Styela clava: one gene and its partner. The protein of the gene in region 1 interacts with the protein of each later gene in a biochemical or structural test. Links are inferred from orthologs where the notes say so. Each region holds a gene or a part of one and is shown on either strand. Other genes may lie near its edges.

What was found.
Region 2: the proteins of deubiquitinating protein VCPIP1-like (region 1) and uncharacterized protein LOC120341967 form a complex in vitro, tested with the Homo sapiens proteins (2 studies listed by BioGRID). The link is inferred for Styela clava from reciprocal best matches to the Homo sapiens genes VCPIP1 and WAC.

What each region holds. Positions count from the first base shown.
Region 1 is NC_135262.1:5,497,182-5,508,184, reverse strand, and holds the start of deubiquitinating protein VCPIP1-like, read left to right. Parts: upstream 1-6,163; 5' UTR 6,164-6,226; coding exon 6,227-6,280; intron 6,281-8,581; coding exon 8,582-8,707; intron 8,708-9,593; coding exon 9,594-9,727; intron 9,728-10,356; coding exon 10,357-10,511; intron 10,512-11,003. Other genes in the region: RNA 3'-terminal phosphate cyclase-like protein, read left to right, coding at 4,439-5,551. UniProt on the Homo sapiens protein: Deubiquitinating enzyme involved in DNA repair and reassembly of the Golgi apparatus and the endoplasmic reticulum following mitosis. Necessary for VCP-mediated reassembly of Golgi stacks after mitosis.
Region 2 is NC_135252.1:8,106,794-8,116,294, forward strand, and holds the start of uncharacterized protein LOC120341967, read right to left. Parts: upstream 3,134-9,501; 5' UTR 2,985-3,133; coding exon 2,963-2,984; intron 1,321-2,962; coding exon 1,219-1,320; intron 264-1,218; coding exon 184-263; intron 1-183. Other genes in the region: uncharacterized protein LOC120342255, read left to right, coding at 6,477-8,735.

The sequences.
Region 1 (11,003 bases):
ATGTAATTGTGCTCATCGTTACTCACGTTTGATTCGAGATTACTATTAGGATTACTAAAATGGAAGAATATTATTCTGAAATAACATAAAATATGTGATAAACTGCCAACTATCAATAAATTGGAGTCGTATTTTTGCGATATTGGGATTTGTCAAACTTGATTTGTTCTTTCGCACTTGAGATTATTTTTAAGCAAGATATCGCCCTTTAAAAAAACACAATGTCTGGGCAAAATACGAACAATTGAAATTTATTTTATTGCATTCGGCTCCGTCGGTAGTTTCAGAATGAAAAAAGGTACATCGCGGATTGCGCGCACAATTGATTGCGTGCGGCTCCGTCGGTAGTTTCAAAAAGGGAAAAAAAGGTAGGCCTACATCGCGCGCACAATTGACTTGTGTTTCGATTTCGCAGTTACTACAATGAAAACCTAACATAACACCAAATTCTGTGATTTGCAATGTCTATAAAAGCGTTTTCAATCCTAGGTGAGTCTGCTGAAACCAAACGTGTGATCTTCCATTTTAAGTTTTAGTTTTAATATTTCAGAATGCCGCTTTTTAATCAAGAAATTTGAGTTGCAGATTTATCTCTTTATTAATTATTATTTTTAGCATTTCGTCGCCGATGACTATAATATGGTAACATGTTTTTCACATTGAACTCATAATTCCCCACGAGAACACAAAAGCCATTAACGTCGTCATTGTGTAACAATACATGTATATGCAGAAAGAAATTTGAATCAGGGAGAATAAACACCGGCGTGAAGATGTTTAAAGGTTCAAAAACACGCCATGCTGAGGAAAAATCGGCGATTGTAACAAAATGCAATCGCGCACATTATTAGCGGCCTTTTAAGTCTTCCAAACATGTCAAAAGGGAAAAGATTCGACCATGTTTGTCAAGTGTCAAATTTACAGCTTTAGTATATATAATTTATGTTTGAAATTTAGATTTTTTTATGACTTGTATTAACCGTTTCAAAAAAGGTTCAGCATTTAAATTGAGTAAAGTACTTTTAACTTGCTCAGGAATATTAATCCGAAAGAAACAATTTTAACATTTATTTCGGGGCTCCGTGAATAATAGTTAACCTTTTCAAGGGCTCCGCAACACCAAAAGTTTGAGAACCCCTGCTCTAGATAAGTGTATTTCCGGTTCGCTCACATTTGAACCCACGTACATTTGAACCCGTAATTTGAACCCACGACAATTGCACCTGCATACTATTGCACCTATGGAAATGTTTTTTTTGCGGATATTTGAACCCATACTAACCCTAACCTATGGATTTTATAACCCTCATATAGATTGATCCCGCGGATATACGGGCGCAAATGTATGGGTTCAAATGTACGGTCACCGTATTTCCCAATGACGATGCCAACAGTGAGACGTGAAGTTAAAACCATGGTTTATGAATGCACGTGTCTTGATCAACGCAGCCTGTTAATTGTCGAAGTAAATAGCAGAGGGTTGCCAAGCGTGACGTTGCTAATTAATTAAGGTTTTGATCCCTCACATCTTCGTCAGAAGCTGTGGCGCAAAGGAAGCGTGTAGGTACGGTAAAGCACCAAGGCTGGGTTCGAACCCTGCAGGAGGTACAAGTCCCCAAGCCAGAATGAATAAAAATAGATGAGGTAGATCAAAACAAAATAGAGAAAGTGAACAGGGCCCTACGACAAAATAGAAAATAAAAACAGAAACAGAAGGAAAAATACGGATGGCAGTAAGAGAGGTATAGAAATAAAGGAGGGCAGGCAGGGAGCAACGAAGGGCCGCGGACAAAAAGACGAGACGAACAGGCGAAGAAGGTGAGCAAGACCAAGAAGGCCGGGCGCAGGAGAGGGTGAAAAGAAAGGATCAGAAAGGGATCGAAGAAAAAGCCCAATGAGCAGCAGCAGAGAAACTGTAGGGAAAACGGTGGGCAGCATGATGGTGAAAAGAAAGGGAAACGGAAAGAAGAGAAACTGTAGGGAAAAACGGTGGGCAGCATGAGGGTGAAAAGAAAATGAACAAACAGGGATCGAAGAAAGGGGAAAGAAAGCAACGATGGGGCAGGAAGGAGGGTGAAAAGAAAAAGACTGATAAGAATAAGGATCCCAAAGAAAGGGAAAAAAGCCCCGATGAGCAGCCGCAGGGATACTTAGAGAAACTGTAGGGGAAAACGGTGGGCAACATGAGGATGAGAAGAAAACCGAATGGGCAGCAGAAACGGCGAAGGGGCTGTGAGAGAAGAACCCAAGAGGGAAAAAGCAAATTCAGCAAGGAAAAAAGGTGTACTGTGATGAGGGTGAAAAGAAAGACTGTGATGGCAGCAGCAGAGAAAAAAACTGTAGGGAAAAACGGTTGGCAGCATGTGAGGGTGTAAAAAAAAAAAAAGAAAGAGTGAGGGATTAGAAGAAAACCTAGAGGCTGAAAAATATGAAGAATTGGAAAGTGCGGACAAGAAGGCGGAACTCCTTCAGTAACCCCCAAAGAGGGATAGAAGAAAGAAAAAGCAGGATGCGATGCAGCAGGAAAAGGAAAAAAAGAAGGTAACAAATTAATAAATAAAATAAAATTCAGAGGTAAGATAGGATTAAGACAAAATAAGAAGGAAGGAATTAAAACAAGATAGCGCACCAAGAGTCGCGCATATCCTGAACTCCCTTACCTGGTACACAACCTGGTCCTCAAGAACAAATCAAATCCATCGAAGGATGGGATGGAAAGACCGATCGATGCTGCGGTCCAGAAGGCATTGCGATCGACAGGCGAAGAAGGTGAGTAAAAAATGGAACCAAGACGGGCCAGAGCGCAGACACGCAGTACACGTAAGTAGATAGAAAATACACGCAGTACACGTAAGTAGATAGAAAATACGAAATAAAGAAGAAAAATAGGGCAAAAAAAATAAATCCAGAGAAAACAGAAGTAAAAATAAAAAGACGTAGTCGGATCATAAAACGAACGAAGTTCGGTCACTTTTTTCCGTATTTATCCACCGAATTGTTGAATATAATCCCCGATTTCAAAATTCCTAATCTACTCCCGAAATCATTCCCATCATGGGGAGTTTCCAGCCATTTTTTTGGAATGCCAGCGCAACTCTTCGCGCACGGTCTAGACCCAGAGGTCCTTATTTTAATCCTAAACTATTATAAAATACAATTTCAACTTAGAACCTTCGACCACAGTGCCAGATACTCCCAAGAATAACGATTTGGATGGCAGTAGCTTTGCTTTCTCACACATGCCTGGCTAAAATTCCCACGCTGGTGGCGGTAGTGGACAGCGTCTTTCAAGGGCTTTCATATTATGTTCCTCTTTGTCAGTGTGTCGGGTCTCGTATGCTACAACATTTTAGTTCGTGGGGAATGTGATTATGATTATGAAGAAACCGAAATGGTTATTTTAGCTGTTTACATCGTTTGAAAGATGGTGTGTGTGTATATGACTAGTCTGAGTGTTGGAATGGGTAGAATATTGGTTTTGTTCTGCCAGTTTGCACTGTTTCTGTTTCAAGCTCTTTTTACGCATGAATCAGTTGCTCGCTATGCAGCTATACCGTACCTAGTCAATTTTGACCTTGAGAGCAAGCCTCTGTTATATATATCATACTGTACAACATATCGCCGGATGAGAACAGAAGGGGCCTCCTAAGTCACATTTTTGCAAAATTCACTTTTTTCAATATTTTGGGGTTTTGAGCCATGCTCTACAAGGTGGTGGTCTTGAAATCCTGAATTTCTCAATAATAAAAGTTTTAGCTGGACTTAGGACTGTAGAAGTTAAGAACAGAATGGACCTAAGTCCAGCTAAAATTTTTAATATTATGAAAATTGAGAATTTCAAGACCACCACCTTGTAGAGCATGGCTCAAAACCCCAAAATACTGAAAAAAGATAGTCCCAAGTTCCAATATGATGGGCATGAACATCAGAAATGAAATGTCCGAAACTTGCATCCCTAAAAATTTCTTCAGTGCAACGTAGGCCTAAGTCACCTTGTTTTACCTTGCATCCCATACAAAAAAATTCAGAAGTTGTTGAGAACAGAATGGGCCAAAGTCCATTATGGGGTTAAAAAAGCAGGAAGGAATTAAAGCTGAAGTGCCAAAAAATATTGATTACAAAGATATTGACATCTACATCAAAATACTCAGAGCTCAGGTTTTTACTAAGTGTGAATATCTAGAAAGTCGAAAATAAAAAAATTCCAAATTGTTTTTTGCGTTTTTCTCAAAACTCAAAATTGTGACTTAGGCCTGTTCTGTTCTCATCCGGCGATATATTGCTTTGATAGACAAGAATATTTTTAACTAGTAATATAATATGACAACTCCTGTATGGCAGTGTCAGTTCTGCATTGTATTCTTGGTTAATAGGGTACCTTTCTCTTTTTTTATTCTCAGAATTTACATTTCTAATCTGTTCACTAAACTGGTTTAAAATGTTAGAATATGTCGGAGCAAATTACTTGCGACAACGATTGGTTCTGTCAATTCTTAGTGGAAAACCTGTTCGTATTTCCTCGATCAGAGACAACAGCGAGAGTCCTGGTTTGAATGAATACGAAGCTAATCTTCTTAGATTTCTGGAAAAAATTACAAATGGAACCACAACGAAAATCAATGTCACTGGAACTACTTTAATCTTTAGGCCTGGATTGTTAATAGGTGGGGTGATAGATCATGATTGTAACCCTCAGCGTTCCATCAGTTACTTATTAGAGGTTATATTCTTCCTTGCACCATTTTGTAAAGAAAGGGTTAAAGCGACGCTTCGTGGAGTAACCAATGATTCATCTGATCCGACAGTTGATTTTTATAGATTGACAAGCTTACCAGTCATGCGAATGTTCGGAGTGCTTGATGACCTGGAACTCAAAGTTATTAAGCGAGGATTTGCCCCTGAAGGGGGAGGTGAGGTGTTTTTTCAATGTCCAAATCCAAGAAAATTAAGACCCCTTCAGTTTTTCGACCAAGGAAAAATAAAACGGATACGTGGTACTGCTTTTGCATCAAATGTTTCTCCACAAATTCCAAATCGTGTTATAGAATCATCAAGGTCTGTGTTAAATACTTATTTGCCTGATATTTATATTTATGCTGATCATTTGAAAGGAAATGCTGCTGGGAAATCTCCTGGATTTGGAATCGTACTAACCGCGGAAACCACAACAGGTGTTGTTTTAGCCGTGGAAAATTCATCAAATCCCAAAGGGCAGGGTGAACCTGTTATTCCTGAAGAATTAGGCACAAAAACTGCAAACGATTTGCTCGAAGAAATATTCAACGGAGGATGTGTGGACTCTGTAAATCAAGGACTAGCAGCTTTATTCATGGTTCTTTGCGAGCAAGATGTTTCTAAATTGATGGTTGGTTCTTTAACGGACTACACAATAGAATTGCTAAGACACATAAGAGATTTTTTCCAAGTAATGTTTAAACTTGAAACAAAAACGTTTGATCATGATGAAAAAGGGGGGAGGATGGGCGGTGATAAAGTTATAATGACTTGTGTTGGGATTGGATACTCTAATATCAGCAAAACTATGAGATAAACGAAATAAAATAATGAATGAATGATTTGGTGGTTGTAAGTAATGATACAAGTTATGGAGACTATATGTTATGAAGTTAATTATGGATATAAGCTATGGGGACCAAATAAATTAAAGATTCAATATTGTTTTTAGTGAATAATAATCATAATTTTTGACGTAGTTGTGTATTTGAGTCAATGAATTTCAAAATTTAAGATCGGGAGTCATGGAACTGATAAGTCAATTCAACCACTGCACAGTCAAATCGGTTTCTATAACTGAGTCAAGTTGAGTCCTTTCAATGGATAGACTCAAGTCATTATGAATATTGACTCACGTCTTACTAGTTGATTGTAATAAAATCTGATTGATCATTACGGAAGTTTTATTAAGAGCTACACAGTATCTTTTTTCAGCAGGCTTATTTAGTAATGCTTCAACTTTTGATTCTTTTTGGAACATTATAATTATAACTCAATAGAACCTTTTTTGTAATGATTTATTGCATACTGAATTACAACTTTAGTTTTAACTAATGTCTCTTGTTACTTGTCTCTATACTTCTCGGTGCCAATTTCCATTTTACTCTCTGCTAAGTCTTTGATTCGTTCATGTTTTGAAAGCATATCATCACTCAATCATGTTTTTTAGTGTAAATTGTTATATAATTATATCCAGTATCAATATGTGACAATGTCGTTGGATTACAAAGTTTATTCTGGATTTTGTCCAGATGAAAAATGTCAGGTTAGTTTCAAATTTTTAGTCATAGAACAGCTGTTAAAATTTTGTTATGGACATTCATTTTTGCTGTATTTACTTGAAATCTCCATATATTGTATTTACCATTTAATTTAAATCTTGGATTTGTTACATTTCATCCAGAATTATTTCAAAATTATGAATATCAGTTATCAAATCTAATTGTTATTTTATAAAAACATTCATGATCTTCATTACCTGTAACCAGGGTTGTCCAAAACGAATCGAATATTCGAATGTATTCGAATATCAAAGTATTCGAATACTTTTTCGGCTGATTTTCGAATAATTCCGAATAGTAGCCACTTTTCGCCGTAAACGTGGTGTTTCGTTTTACGGGAATCTTCAAACGACTTTTTACGCTGTCTCACGTATTGTAATGACGGTGAATTAGAATCGGCACTTTGATTGTTTATATTCTGTGCGACCGTACGTCGCATAGTGTTGCGACACATTTGCACGTTTGCGTGGGTGGACATTGCCGACATTCGTCTAGGAGGCTTCTAATTTACAAATCCATTTCCATTACGTCGAAAAATTGACAATTACCGTATTTCCAGGCTAATAAGTGGCTTTTCTAGGCCACCGAGATAAAGTGATTTGTGACCCTTTCGTTTTGCCGATTCAGCAGAACACAACAGGAAAACACAGCTGTGAAATAACCCTTGGACGTACAGTGTATTACTTATCACATTCCAAAATTATTTCAACATTCGGGTTAATAGGTTGTCCAAAATGATTGCCGCTTTACAACTTAAATTTACCGCTCAATTGTTAAAAATAGTAAATACTGTGAGTATGATTCTACCAAACTAACATGATCTGGTTCTAAACATTTAAAATTATTAGCGCATAATATCAGCATAACTGAACAACAGGGACACAATTTTTCTACCCGTCTTATTGGAGGCCTATATGGAAAAACCCCTTTTTGGAGTGCTAAAAATAGACATCGTCCTATTTGCCATGTGGACTTATTAGCCGGGGAAATACGGTATTTATAGCAGTCATTGTTACGATATCCAATAAATTGTCACAAGTTGGAAAAACAAGTCGATTTATTAGAAAATAATTTCTGGCGAATAATTCTGATAACGATAGCTAAAAGTATCAATCTTTTACCAGGATGATTTTGTATTGCGCAATATAATTCAATCCATGACTGGTACCAGCATTTAAAATGTCATTAATTTAATTCTGTTCAATGTAACTCATGGTTGCATCGACAATCTGTGGACATAAATGTGTGGTAAACTGACCGATTTTATCAAATATTTATTCCTATTTTTATATTGATAAAATAATGAAAGTATTAATACCAAATACCACGGGTATTAGCGGACATGAAATACGTTGTAAACTGCCCAATTATAATTTCGGATTCGTATTTATAAAATAACTAAACTATGTGGACATAAATTGTGTGGCAAACTCGCGATTAATATTAATTTTTGATTCCTATTTTCGTATTTACAAAATACAACGGTGATCTGTGGACTTAGAATGTGTGGTAAACTACCCGATTATAAATAGTTTTTGATTCCTATTTTCATATTTATAAAATAATAAAAGTATTATTACTCAAACATACAACGGCGATCTTCGGACTTAAAATGTGTGGTAAAGTTCCCGAATATAATTAATTTTTGATTCGTATTTTTGTACTCACGAAAAAATTGTCACAAGCCGGAAAAATAACTCATACTTTATCCCGCTTTTTAGCAAATAATTTGGATAATGGCTGGTATCTGAAAGTATGGGCGTTTCACTAGGATGATTTTGTGTTGCGCAAATATTCAAATCCATCATCGATACCACTATTGCCGTATTAATTTAATTCTGTTAACATGACTCATGGTATATAAAATATATACTGCAATTATCTGCGAATATGAAATGCCTGGTAATATAGCTAGGTTGTAACTTGTAGATGCAGTTATTCCATTGCTTATTGTATGGAAATTCCTACATACATTTAGATAAGCTTCAATTAATGGATTTTATTTTCGAAGTATTCGAAATTTCATATTCGAAAATGTATTCGAAATAGTGAACTATTCGGTTTTGGCCATCCCTGCCTGTAACCGAGCTGTTGCTTCAACTTAGTTGAAAATCATTCAATTAAAATTCGAAAATGCTTATAGCTGAGAGGTCATATTTCTCGATAAAAGTCTCTTTTATTGTCCTAAGAATATTTCACTCACAATGGTTTCTATATCAATTAAGTGAATACTCAACATTATAGTGATTTCAGAATTCAAAAATCCATTTTTCATTTCTTTTTAGAGCAAACTTTATTTTCCTGCTCACAAGAGAGTCATAGAATGTTCAAACTGTGGCCAAAGTCATTCACAAGTTGACCTTCACAACATTATAGAGGTCACAGATGGGGAAGAAGCATTCACAGAAGTGGTGAGTCAAGTCAGGCTAGGTGGAATTTGAATAGTGACTTATCGACTATATTAATTTTGATGAATATATTTTAATAAATTAACTTAGTCACATTTAGTGATTTTCATCCTACACAAAGCCTATTTATTGATAATATCTAATTGAAAAGCTTTATTGACATATTACATGGAAATCCCATTAAATATACTAATTTTTGAATTTAATTATTGAATTGTGTGCATAACAAAGGGTTCATCTTTGTTGAATCACTGCACAAAATGAATGGGTGAATTCAAAAATAATAAAATGATTAATATATTACTTATCGAACACATTCTGTAGTAATATTTTCGGAAATTTCAAACATGAGTTAAAATAAACATTGTTTTTATTGGTTTTTCTATGGTCATTATTAATGAACTTGTTTTCAGTCTACACATCAGATGTTAATTTTTCAGAATTGATTTTTAACATTTCATAAAATCTATTCAAAATTGAAAAATTTCAAATATTCAGGAAAGTAAGATATACTGTATAACCTATTTCTAAAATCAACAATTTTCAATTCAGAAATATAACTTATTTTAAATATATCTTACTGTATATCCTCGCATATAAGCTGATCTCACATTTAAGCCAACCCCGAAAAAACGGCCCTAAAACTGTTTATTTATGAAAATTTACATATAAGCGGACTTTTATCGTCAGCACTTAGCATGGTTCGAGTTGGAGCTATTAGAATTAAAAGACCATGATGTCATTTTGTTTGAGTGCGATTGGAGTTATGTGCGTATAAGCCCCTTAGTTTGGCAACTTTTTTTTAGTTTAAAACTCAGCTTATTTGCAACTTAATAGTGTAATATTTTATTCATTTTGAACATATCTGATTTAATTTTCTATACTTCAGTTGAAATCGATCGTCTGGGATGCAAAATTGCCCAAGAAAGGAAGTGATTCTATTAAAGTTCAAGGTTTATCCAATTATCACTGTAAATTGTTGTCTCCTCTATTCACCCGATATGGAATGGATAAAGCTGGAAAGTATGTTTCGATTTTGTCTTGTTCAGCCAAGTTTGTTTCTCGAGTGCCAAATTGAAATGATTGCACCATGATTTACGGTATTATGCATTATTGTTATTGTCAAATATCTTTCAAGGGTTTCTGGTTGTAGTATGTTGTTTTGTGTCAGGTTCCAAAACAGCCCATATGTTTTTTTATTGATAATCCATGAACTGGGGAAGTCATGGGAATTTTATCATACAATATTTATTATTAGCCGCAGTATACCACTCACTCAAGGATGATACCTATGAGGGTTGCAGCTACAGCACTCAAAATAAACTGGCAGTTTTGGTATCCTGGTCACTGTCACATTGTACTACGCTGTCGCTATAGATGCAATTTTGCGCGGTTGACTGAAGTGCATGCCGCTTCATGTATCAGCAGTGATACTGGGCGCCTACCGGCTTTTTTTTTCAGCTTCCCTCATGCACAAGAAGAAAATTAATAGCTTATTCATTTTAAGTAACGATTCTGTATGAATTTTTTAATTACTCTATTTATATCAAAAGATATTTAGTCAATTTTTCCAATTCTCATCAATCAGTTGCAAAAGCTGCATCGTTTTCGCTGATTTCAACATCATAAATACCTTAATTATTCCTGTGCAGCCCTAAGCTGTTACTTGAACTTGGTCACGGAGAAACTGCAGATTGTGGAAGATTATTGAGCCATCGTGCATTTCTTATCTCACCAGAACATATCAATATAACTGGTTATGGGAAGGATCAATCTGGCAGTGTCGAGTATTTGAATGGTCTGTTAGGTAAGATTGTAAAATACATGCTGTATCTTTGCTCTTTTGCTTTGTATTATTTTCTTCGTAAAATAGAATTTAAAATTTGAAAGACTATAAATCAGAAATTTTGAAATCTGACATGGAATAGGATGGCTCGACTCTACCTTGATTATTTGTTAGCGAGATTTGGAAAAAAATTGTGCTAGTCTTCAAAATAGAAGAATTGTCTTAGTGGAATACGATTTATCACACATCACACCATTTATTAAATGATGTATCGTGAAAAAAAAAAAATAATTACCATTTGTTGCTGAAATATACATGTATATGGGGTCTTACTACTTACTGAATACAGCGCGAAACACCGCAAAGAGCGCAAAACAGCGCAAAACAGGAGACGCAGTCATTACCACCTCCTGCCACGAAAGAACCACGGCGCCTCTCGCTATGGTTTTATGGCGCTATTTCCGGCATATTTACAAGGTTATGTACCGGATTATAGGTCATCATGCGAAATTT
Region 2 (9,501 bases), on another chromosome or scaffold:
CAAAGCACTTTCAAACTTATCGATAAATCTCTACTTTATCAACATCATTCCTTTATTTAGCTCAAAATTAGCTCTATTCATATTACCGGCATAATATAAGACAACAGACAAGTCATTTAAAAACGCAAATATCAAACAATACTATCGTTTACATTTTCACAGATTGTTAAAACTGTCTCTAACCTGAGAAGTAACCGACTTTGTTGATCTGTGATCACGATTTGATTTTACAGAGGACGATGAGCCGATGTCACCAGATGATGCTAAAATTTAAAATGTAAACAAACTGAATATTCAATGCAGCCACTTCCTGTGTGGATCATTTGATTGAGTTAGGTAAATATATATATATATCTTCCCAAATATGATCAACTGGCGGACCACGGTCTGAATCCGGACCTTCCGGGTATTCGATTCGGACCGCGCCTAATTCTTTATTTTGGAACATTGGCCCCACTTTTGGAGTTTCCATTTTTAAAATCACTTTTATAAATTTAAATATATATGAAAAGAACTATAACGCCATAATACACAATCTTGATTAGCTAATAATCATTAGTCGGCCGTGAAAGTGTGTGTTTAAGGATGTCGGAATATAAATTCTGGAAAGACTGGACCCAAATATTTTTATATTTATAAGTTTTATATGCGGATCTTCGGTAAAAATAGTTCAGTAGCCCTGGCCTGCCTACTCTATGATAGGACAATTTATACAAGTGGACTATGGCATTTGATAATGTATCAAAAAATATGATAATAAGAACCCACTGTGCAAAGATAGTTGCTTATGAAGAATAATAGCAGATATTTAATCTCATGCAAATATTTTGGTGAGAAAGACTATAAAACTTGTATGGAAATAATGAATGCAATTCCACAACGACAAAATGAAATTCTTCAATGAATTTTTGCATTGAAGAACTTTAAAAACTCCAAACTTTATTGCTAATATTTAAGTTATATTAATAAGTCCAGAGACAGCACAATAATCAAACTTTTATGAGACAGATGGTTTAATGGAATCCAATATTACTGGTGCTGGGGACCATTGAAACAAGCTTTAATTCTCTCAATTCTAAAAAACATCTTTAATGGTGATTGTATGGTTGAGTTGTCTACATTGTGCTTTCCACTGAATTTGAAACACTAACTTTCCATATGCTGACAAGGTTAGCCTAACCAATTTGAGTATGTTGTAAATTTATATTATACGCTTACACTTATCATTGAATTTGTGCATTCCAAACATCTCTTTCTTCCCATCTACATGTCTATGATGATGCTGATGAACTGCTTCAGATTTTCGCATTTCATGCATCCCTGTAAAAATACGAGGAAATAAGACAAAATGCCCAATTTGACAAGGCCAACATAAAAATACTAGATGAATAATTACAAAATATAAAGAAAAAACATTTCTCAAATAGGTGGAGTGTGCCTAATGATCAGGTTCAAAGCTCATGCTCAACGATAAAAACTCTTGTGCTTCATAACTATAGCAGTATAAAGCCGAATAGCAGCATGATGTTACAGCACTTCGAAATAAAAGATTATCTGTAAAAGGTTCATAAATAATTCAATTCATGATTTTTCAAGAGAATGCAGAGTAGTATAATGCCACACTATGTTTATATACTACAAGAAGAGTCTGTTAGCAGAAAGATCCAACCAAGACCAGAGTCGGTATTTTTGTTATTAGGATTGAATAAAGCAGTTCTAAAAAAAAATTTTTCAAACCCATCTGACAATGTGGTGGTAGCGGTAATTATTGCCTCCTGTGTGAGACTTTAGCTCATACTGTAAAGAAGGCCTAATACTTTCAAAGCACGTCTAACAAACCACAAAAGCAGCTCAGTAGTCTTCCCATTTGTAATAGGTACCCAAGAGATGAGAGCAAATAGGCAAGTAATTTATTCAGTCAATAATAGGAAAAGTCAAAGATTTCATTTCTTCAGATCTATGTAGCATGACTAAAGCAGAATATAAACTTTTTCTTAATTAACTTTCATTTTACTTTGGTAATGCCAGTAATGCCAACCTCAATGAAAAATTCCAGTGGCTTCAGGGACCCCTATGCGAAAGTTTGATTGCGTTTTTCTATATGAAAAGCAAACCCTTACAATGGCAAAACGAAACAATCTTCAAAGTGTAGAAAGGTCAATAATAGTGGCAAGCCTAATGTAATATGTATTTGATTATATTTAACCAATATCTGAATATACATATATTAATAGACTCTCGAATTTAAATGTAAACTTGCAGATTCCCTGGAATTTACTGGAGGTGATGCTGTGGAACCCCAGTTGAAAATCACTCTATTATGTGTCAATGGCAACACTGCACGGTCAGAATACTTGTATTGTGTATGTATGGGTACCGACCAAAGACAGAAATATGTTCACTGGTTTTTAGGTTACAGGCAAAGTTTGATGAGTTTATATTTATGTGGTCATAAACCATTATATAAGTTATGTGTTGTCTGTGTAAATATATTAAGTTCAACTTGGTGTTATTGGATTTATATCAAAGTATCATAACTACACAATATTCAATTTATTATTTTAATGACTTTTAAAAAGAATGCTGAGACACAGTTTGATGGAGAATCTGTGAGAGTACAGAACACCATTCAGGATCGTCAATATAATGCAGTCTTGGACCAGGCACTTGATGTCCATTGAAGTGCATTCTTCATACTGCTGTACTACAGACTGCTGTCTGACTGTTGTCTGAAAAAGATGGTTATGCTGAAAGATAAGAGATTAGGTTGAACAGTATACCGGTACCTTCTCACAGATTCGGTATACCCAAAACATTTAGGCGGCGAGCAATTACTATATTCAGATATTGAATGCCACCGATATGATATCAAGATACTGGGACATTGTACATGGCGGGCAGCCGGAAAGACGACTCATAACAAAATATACCGGTACCGGTACCGGTACAACGCTATATTTACCTCGTTTTTGTACTGCGTTCATGGATAAGGCGTTACTTCTCTGATTTGGAAAGTATCGTTTGATCTTTCGGCGATGACCATCGCATCACAGCTCCGAGAACAAAACAAGTGGCACCATCAACGGTACGCGGACTAGAGACGATTGACAGGGCTTGGCTGAAAGACTGGACCAATGAAAAAAGCTTAGAAGTGAAAGGAGTAAAACAACAGCGTTTTCCGGTTATCCGTTCTTCGTAACGTCTGTTTATTAAAATCATAACTTTGATGATTTTAATTTGTCTATAGAAGTTCTGGATCTGAATATGTTACCCAAAGGGGTGGCTTATGCATAAATATTTGAAATGTAAAAATGAGGCGATGGTTTTATATTTTCACTCCACGAATTGAGTGGTTTCGACTCCGACGATTGTATTGTGACCAGACAGTGTGTACCTACAAATTTTTCTTTTACCTATTATGCTTATGTTTTCCAATAACGTTTACCTCATCTCTATCTCTTCTTAATGCTTGTGTGCGTGTACAATCACAAGCCTTACAATCACAAAAAGAGTTCAAATGGGGAGTAGAGATCTTATCGAGAGGAATTCGGGGAAGGGAGAAAAAGGCGATTTATAAGTCGATCAAGTCAAGTCAAGTTTATTTTTTCCAACCAGTAAAAATCAAAAAACATGCAAAAATATAAAGAAAAAATGATATTCAAATTACTGGGGAAGGGAAGCCGCGGGGAACCAAAACTGGTTATCGAGCTGCAACACCCAAGGTTCTAACACCTAGTTTAACAGATCGGGGAGAAGAGTTTCAACGAATAGATATCATATAAATTTTACTAATTAGCTAACTAATTTCAATTGTTATATATTATTACTAGAAATTACCGTACATCTTACCAATGAGAGTACCCTATAGCCAACAACCTGGCGAGGTGAACGAATGGAGTGTATGCTATGTAAAACTACAAACATTTACTAACTCTGCAGTTCGGGATTTGAGAATGAGTAATATTCGAGGTCATTGCCCAAAATGCTCTCAAAACCGTCAAGCATGCCAACATTGCCTATACACTTGCTTTATGGCATTTTGTGGTTTCTGCGTATGAATGTTTGCGCGTTCTGACCTCATATTTTTCATTTTTGATATTTATCTTATGGCTAAACCATCAGTCGTCACAAATCCAACATATTTATTATGCTCGGACTTTTTTTTTAAATGGCATGTAACAGTAACTGGTTTGATTGCACATACCAAAGAGGTTGTTGTTACTACAGTGATTTTGACGGATGCAAAACTGAGAATGAAAAATTCGACCAAGCAACAATGGATTTTAATAATGGAAGATGTATTTGGCGACTTCGGCAAAGATGGTGATCTTCCATCATCTACTTTTTTGAAAACAAAGAAAATGGGCAAGAAACATGAGCGAAAGTACAGATTGATAAAGGACGATTTTCAATCTGAAAATGTCAAGATCAGCAAACCTACATGCCAACCGTCAACCTTCGCTCATTACCCCAATATTTTCAAAGCTTTATTATGGATCTTATGTTACAACATTTTGTGATAATTACTTAGCCTTCAAAATGGAACATTCAGGACACTCATAAAAAGGATATTCGCGTGGGTCTAGCTCAGACGCCTAAGATCTGAATGGGGAAGATCAGTAATCAGTAGTTTATTTTTTAATACGCTGAAAAAGCACTCACGACATACAAAGTATCATAGGGCCTATGAAGAAATTGCATTTCAGGTTGAAGGGAAACGCAGAAACCCAATACTGGTTATTTAGCATCGGCACCCATTAAAAAAGTCTAGAAACCATAATAAAAAAGAAGAAAAATATGAAAAGACACACTAAGATACCCATTATGAAGCCGATGTGATGAAAAGAAGTATATATAATCCATCTGGTTGTCTGGACCATACGATTCTTTGATAATATAGTTGTATGTATCAAGCCTTTTTATTATAAAGGAATTCAAATGCAATATGGGTAGTGTCGATTTGCTTGATCAAAATATTGCACGCTTTTGCAACTATCATTTGAAATCCCGAAGATGCGTTGATCAAAAGATTTGCGTTGATCATTTGTATCAAATGGTTGAATCTGAGGGACTTCGAGGGAACAGAAATAATCGACTTAGCTGTCGGCATTGAATTGGTCGGTAAATTCATGCGAGAGAAACATAGGAACAATCGATGCTCGAGACAGCAAGATGGAAGCTCCGGAATGTTGGACGTTGCGAAGACTAAAATCATATACTCCAATTTCTACAAATTCGAAACAATTTTGTAACATAAGAAGCAACGCCCGAAACTAGTTTTCGTGTTTTTATGTTTGTTGTTTACTTTTAAGCTTTATTTGTTTACAAAAAAACAGCAGCTAATTAATTAATTGTTATTATTGGTATTCGCATTTCGGCACAGGCACCGTCACATAACTTCTAAATGTTTTTGTATCGTTCACGACTTTCACTCATCGAAATTATTTGCAACATTACAAATAGGCTTCGCCCGTGAAATTTATTTTCTCGTGATCATGTACTCTGTTCATTAATTTATTATGGTATGATTGTCGTGTTTTCACTTGTGTGAGTGTGGGTGAATGAGCACAGGCGCTGGTTACAGCATTCATTATAAACCTTTATATAGGTTTTGCCCATTTTCCCGATTTTTCAGTTGCTTTTGTCTGTGTGTTTTTTTACTTGTGTTGTGGACGAAAGATCGAAATAAAATTGTATTGTATAGGATGGTAAATGCCTCTGTTCTGCAATTGGTGCAAATAGCTGTTGTGGATTCCTGGTTATTAAATCGTATAGATTGCAAACAGCATTCTTTGGAGAAGCCACTGAACCCAAAATTGGGTTAGTAGCTCAATGTGTAATGTTTCTATTCGTTTTACAGAGGAGAAATTGTTTTCCTGGCTTCCATATTCAGGATTACATTAGTTGAAACATTTCTTTATTTCGTTCATAGCAAAACATTAAACAATACAATGAAGAAAAAAATAATGTCAAAAGTAAGCAAAATCTATAAAGAGATTTAGAAGCAGCGAGTGCTATTATTTTTTGTCGACCAGAAAAATACATTTGTCAATATTAAACAGATTACTTTTTTCAGATCAAAAACACCTAAATAAAAAATCAAACACGGAGGTTGATTTGTAAATTTCAGTAATTTGTAGATACTACGTACCGGTATATTATGATTGTGTATACGAAGCGAAAAATAGATGCAAAAATTGTTACTACAAAATCCTCGAACAACCACTAGCTGTCCTGCGAGCCATCAAATATTCTTAGGTATTTCGAATTTGAGCTCTGCAGTTACGGAACGCTTCGAAACGCAAATAAACATTGCACATTCTTAGTTACCAAAACCGATTTTTTCAAGACGGGTCGATGTCATTTCTAGATCAGCGTTTGGTTGCGTTGCTCAAGACTGTAAGAGAAAAATTTAATTATATATTTTACGTTTTTCCTCGGATGAAATCGGAGGTATTAAGCTCGCTTGAATAATAATGAATGCAAGTTCGCGCCGATCACCTTATCGCGGACGTCGACGGGATCGCTCAACTTCTGAAGAGCGTCCCAGGACAAGAACTTACGATCCAAGCGAAACAGATTATTCCGATGACTTCGAACCAGATGCAATAAGCAAAAATGCTACACCACCGCCAAAACGCAGGGGAGGAAATGCTAGAGGAAGAAGACATGATAGTGGTTCTTACTACACAGACCAATCTTCCACTTCACATTTACATTCTTCCGGCAGCAAAAAATCAACTCAAAGTGTAGCTCGTGGTTTGAAAGGTCAGAAAAAATCCAGACCCAGGTATGGCTGGAAATCCAACAATTCGGGTAAGCCGGAATCGATTCGAGCACATAGGGATAATATAACAACCAGAATGTTGTCAGCAAAACAAAGAAAAATAAATGAACTACAAAATGAACTTGTCGAAACTGAACACAGATTAGATGGTATGCTTAAAGAGAACAAACTTTTAAAAACTGTTCAGCACCGACAGGATAAAGCTCTCAAACGATTTCAAGATGTTGAAAGTGACTTGCCCCGACTAATAGCTCAAAATTTTGAGGATCAAAGAGTCTTAAAAACCAGACTTAAAAAGGCACAGGAAGCCGAACGAATCTTAGAAGAAAAACTCCATGAAAATAATGATGAAATGCAGAAAATGGAGAAAACCTTGCGGAAGCTGAAAAAAGTTGTTTATGACAAAAACTTAGGGGAAAGATCAGAACTTGCAAGACAGCTTACAAATACAGAGAATAATTTAACTGTTGCTGAACGGAAAGTCAAAGAGTTGGAGAAAAAATTAGAGTTAACAACGAATAGTTTCTCGAGACAAATCAAATCAGAAAGGCAAAAACACAAAGAAACAAAGGAAAAGTTGGATGCTTTGACTGATGACTATCAAACTGTGCAATCAAGATTAAAAGAAAAAGAAAGAGCATTAAATGTTAGTAATATTTATGCTTTAAGAAATAAAGAGCAATCTGCTATAAAGTCAATTCAATCTACACCCAGGAAACATTTTTTGCTTAATTCAACTTTTACTCAAACTGAAGCACCTCTTCCATTAACATTCCACTCAAATAATGCAACAGTGAAGCCGACACAGATGGGTTTGAGACGAAAAGAGTCTCCTAGTGAGAGAAAAAAAGATAGAACGAAACCAACTGAAAATCACTCGGATTTTCGATCATCTCCTTCAAATTCTTCTCCTGTTCCTACTGCAAATACCATGGGCATTTTGACTTCTAGTCCAACTACAAATGGCTTACATTCAACCACAGGTCATGTTAGCAAAGAGCAAAGTAAAACCACTGACCAACATGCATTTCTCACTTCACACCCTCTATCAAATTCTTCAACACCAACTCACTCAATGGTAGCTGATTCTATTGAATTTGAAAAACCAGCAACCCAGTTTGAACCAAGTTATTATGAGTCTTCATCACTGAGATCAAATGTTAAAGTAGAAGAAGAAAAACAAAACTCAATAAGTGAAATAAAAAAGCAACAAAAACTGGAAGAAGAAAGGAGACGATTAGCAGAAGAGCAAAAAAAGAAAAATGCTTTGTTAGCAAAAATGCGCGAAATTGAGCACGATGAGCCTAATTCTCTTCCTCTTGAAAGCAATAAAAATTCTTCAATTTCACCTGCACCATTGTCATTTGAAACTATCAAAAATCCGCCCATTCCAAGCAAAGTCACAATGCACCCTAAATCAAAGGCTGAACTTGTGAAGTCATTATTGGGAACTGACACTAATGACTCTGATCCAGTTGTGGAAAATCTGCATATGGGATTGCCTTCAAATCCGAAGAAGGTTGAAAAACCTGAAAAGGAGTTGTCATTTGGAGGATATGCTCCTTCTGTTGGAACTACCCAAGCTAGCAGAAAACCTGTCACTATCAACAAGAAGCCAGCCATGATGTCATCTGATTCTGATAATGATGAGCCAATGTTTGACTTAGATAGTGGTACACAAAACAAAAAATCGGATTTATTATCTCAACTTTTTGGAGAGCAAAGCACTGATAAACTTAAAAATGATTCTAATGAATCTTTGAAAGCAAATGGGACAGGAGGAACGACTCCACGTGCTAAACCTGTTCATTCAGGATATCCATGGGAGAAAAATGTTGTAACAACAAACCATGTTAATGGTCATGTTTCAAGTAAAACTAAGACAGGTGTACCTGTTAAAGCTACTCCGTCCATTCATGAAGATGACATTGAGGAATTGGTGTTGTGAGACTTTAAGAATCACTTAGCATTTACAACCTTAAATTTCAACTTTTAAGATTGAGTTGCTTTGAAGCAGCAAAGAAAGCATACATACCAATTTTTTGTATACATTTTTTATCTATAATTCGGAACTATTGTGTAACTAAATAATAAATAAGCTATTTCACTTATCATTCGTTAAACTTTGTTTGTTGGTATGGATATCAACAATGTTCAATACCGGTATTTGCACTGTTACTATTCTGCAATTCATTTTAAATTTAAATTGGTGAATAATGCCCCTAATCATGGAGTACCCAAATCATTGTTTATACCACATTGAGTCCATTTCTCTGACTTAAACTTTCCTGTAAGTTGGTAAATTGTTACCATTATTGACTACAAGCGTTCTGATCTTGTGATTACTACTCCTAATCTTACAAAAATATTGCTGACAAAAATAAATTAATATTGTTTTTGTAAAGTAAAAAGTAATTCAAACAGTAATTCTTAAGCCGTCCAGGTGTGTGTATATATTTTACTGTGACTCTGACTTGCTGTCATGTGTTATGTGGCTTTGACAGCTTTATCAAATTGTTGCAAACCATCATAAATTTTGTAGATTTTTCAAGTTGAAGATTTTCGCTCAGGCATGAATTCTATGAATATTTGGTTTAGGTATGATTGTGTCAGTATCAAAATGAGAAATCGAATGATAATGTATATTGGACATCTCTATCAGAAATATTTCATTCTGGTGCACTGATTTTTTATTTCTAGTGAAACATATTACA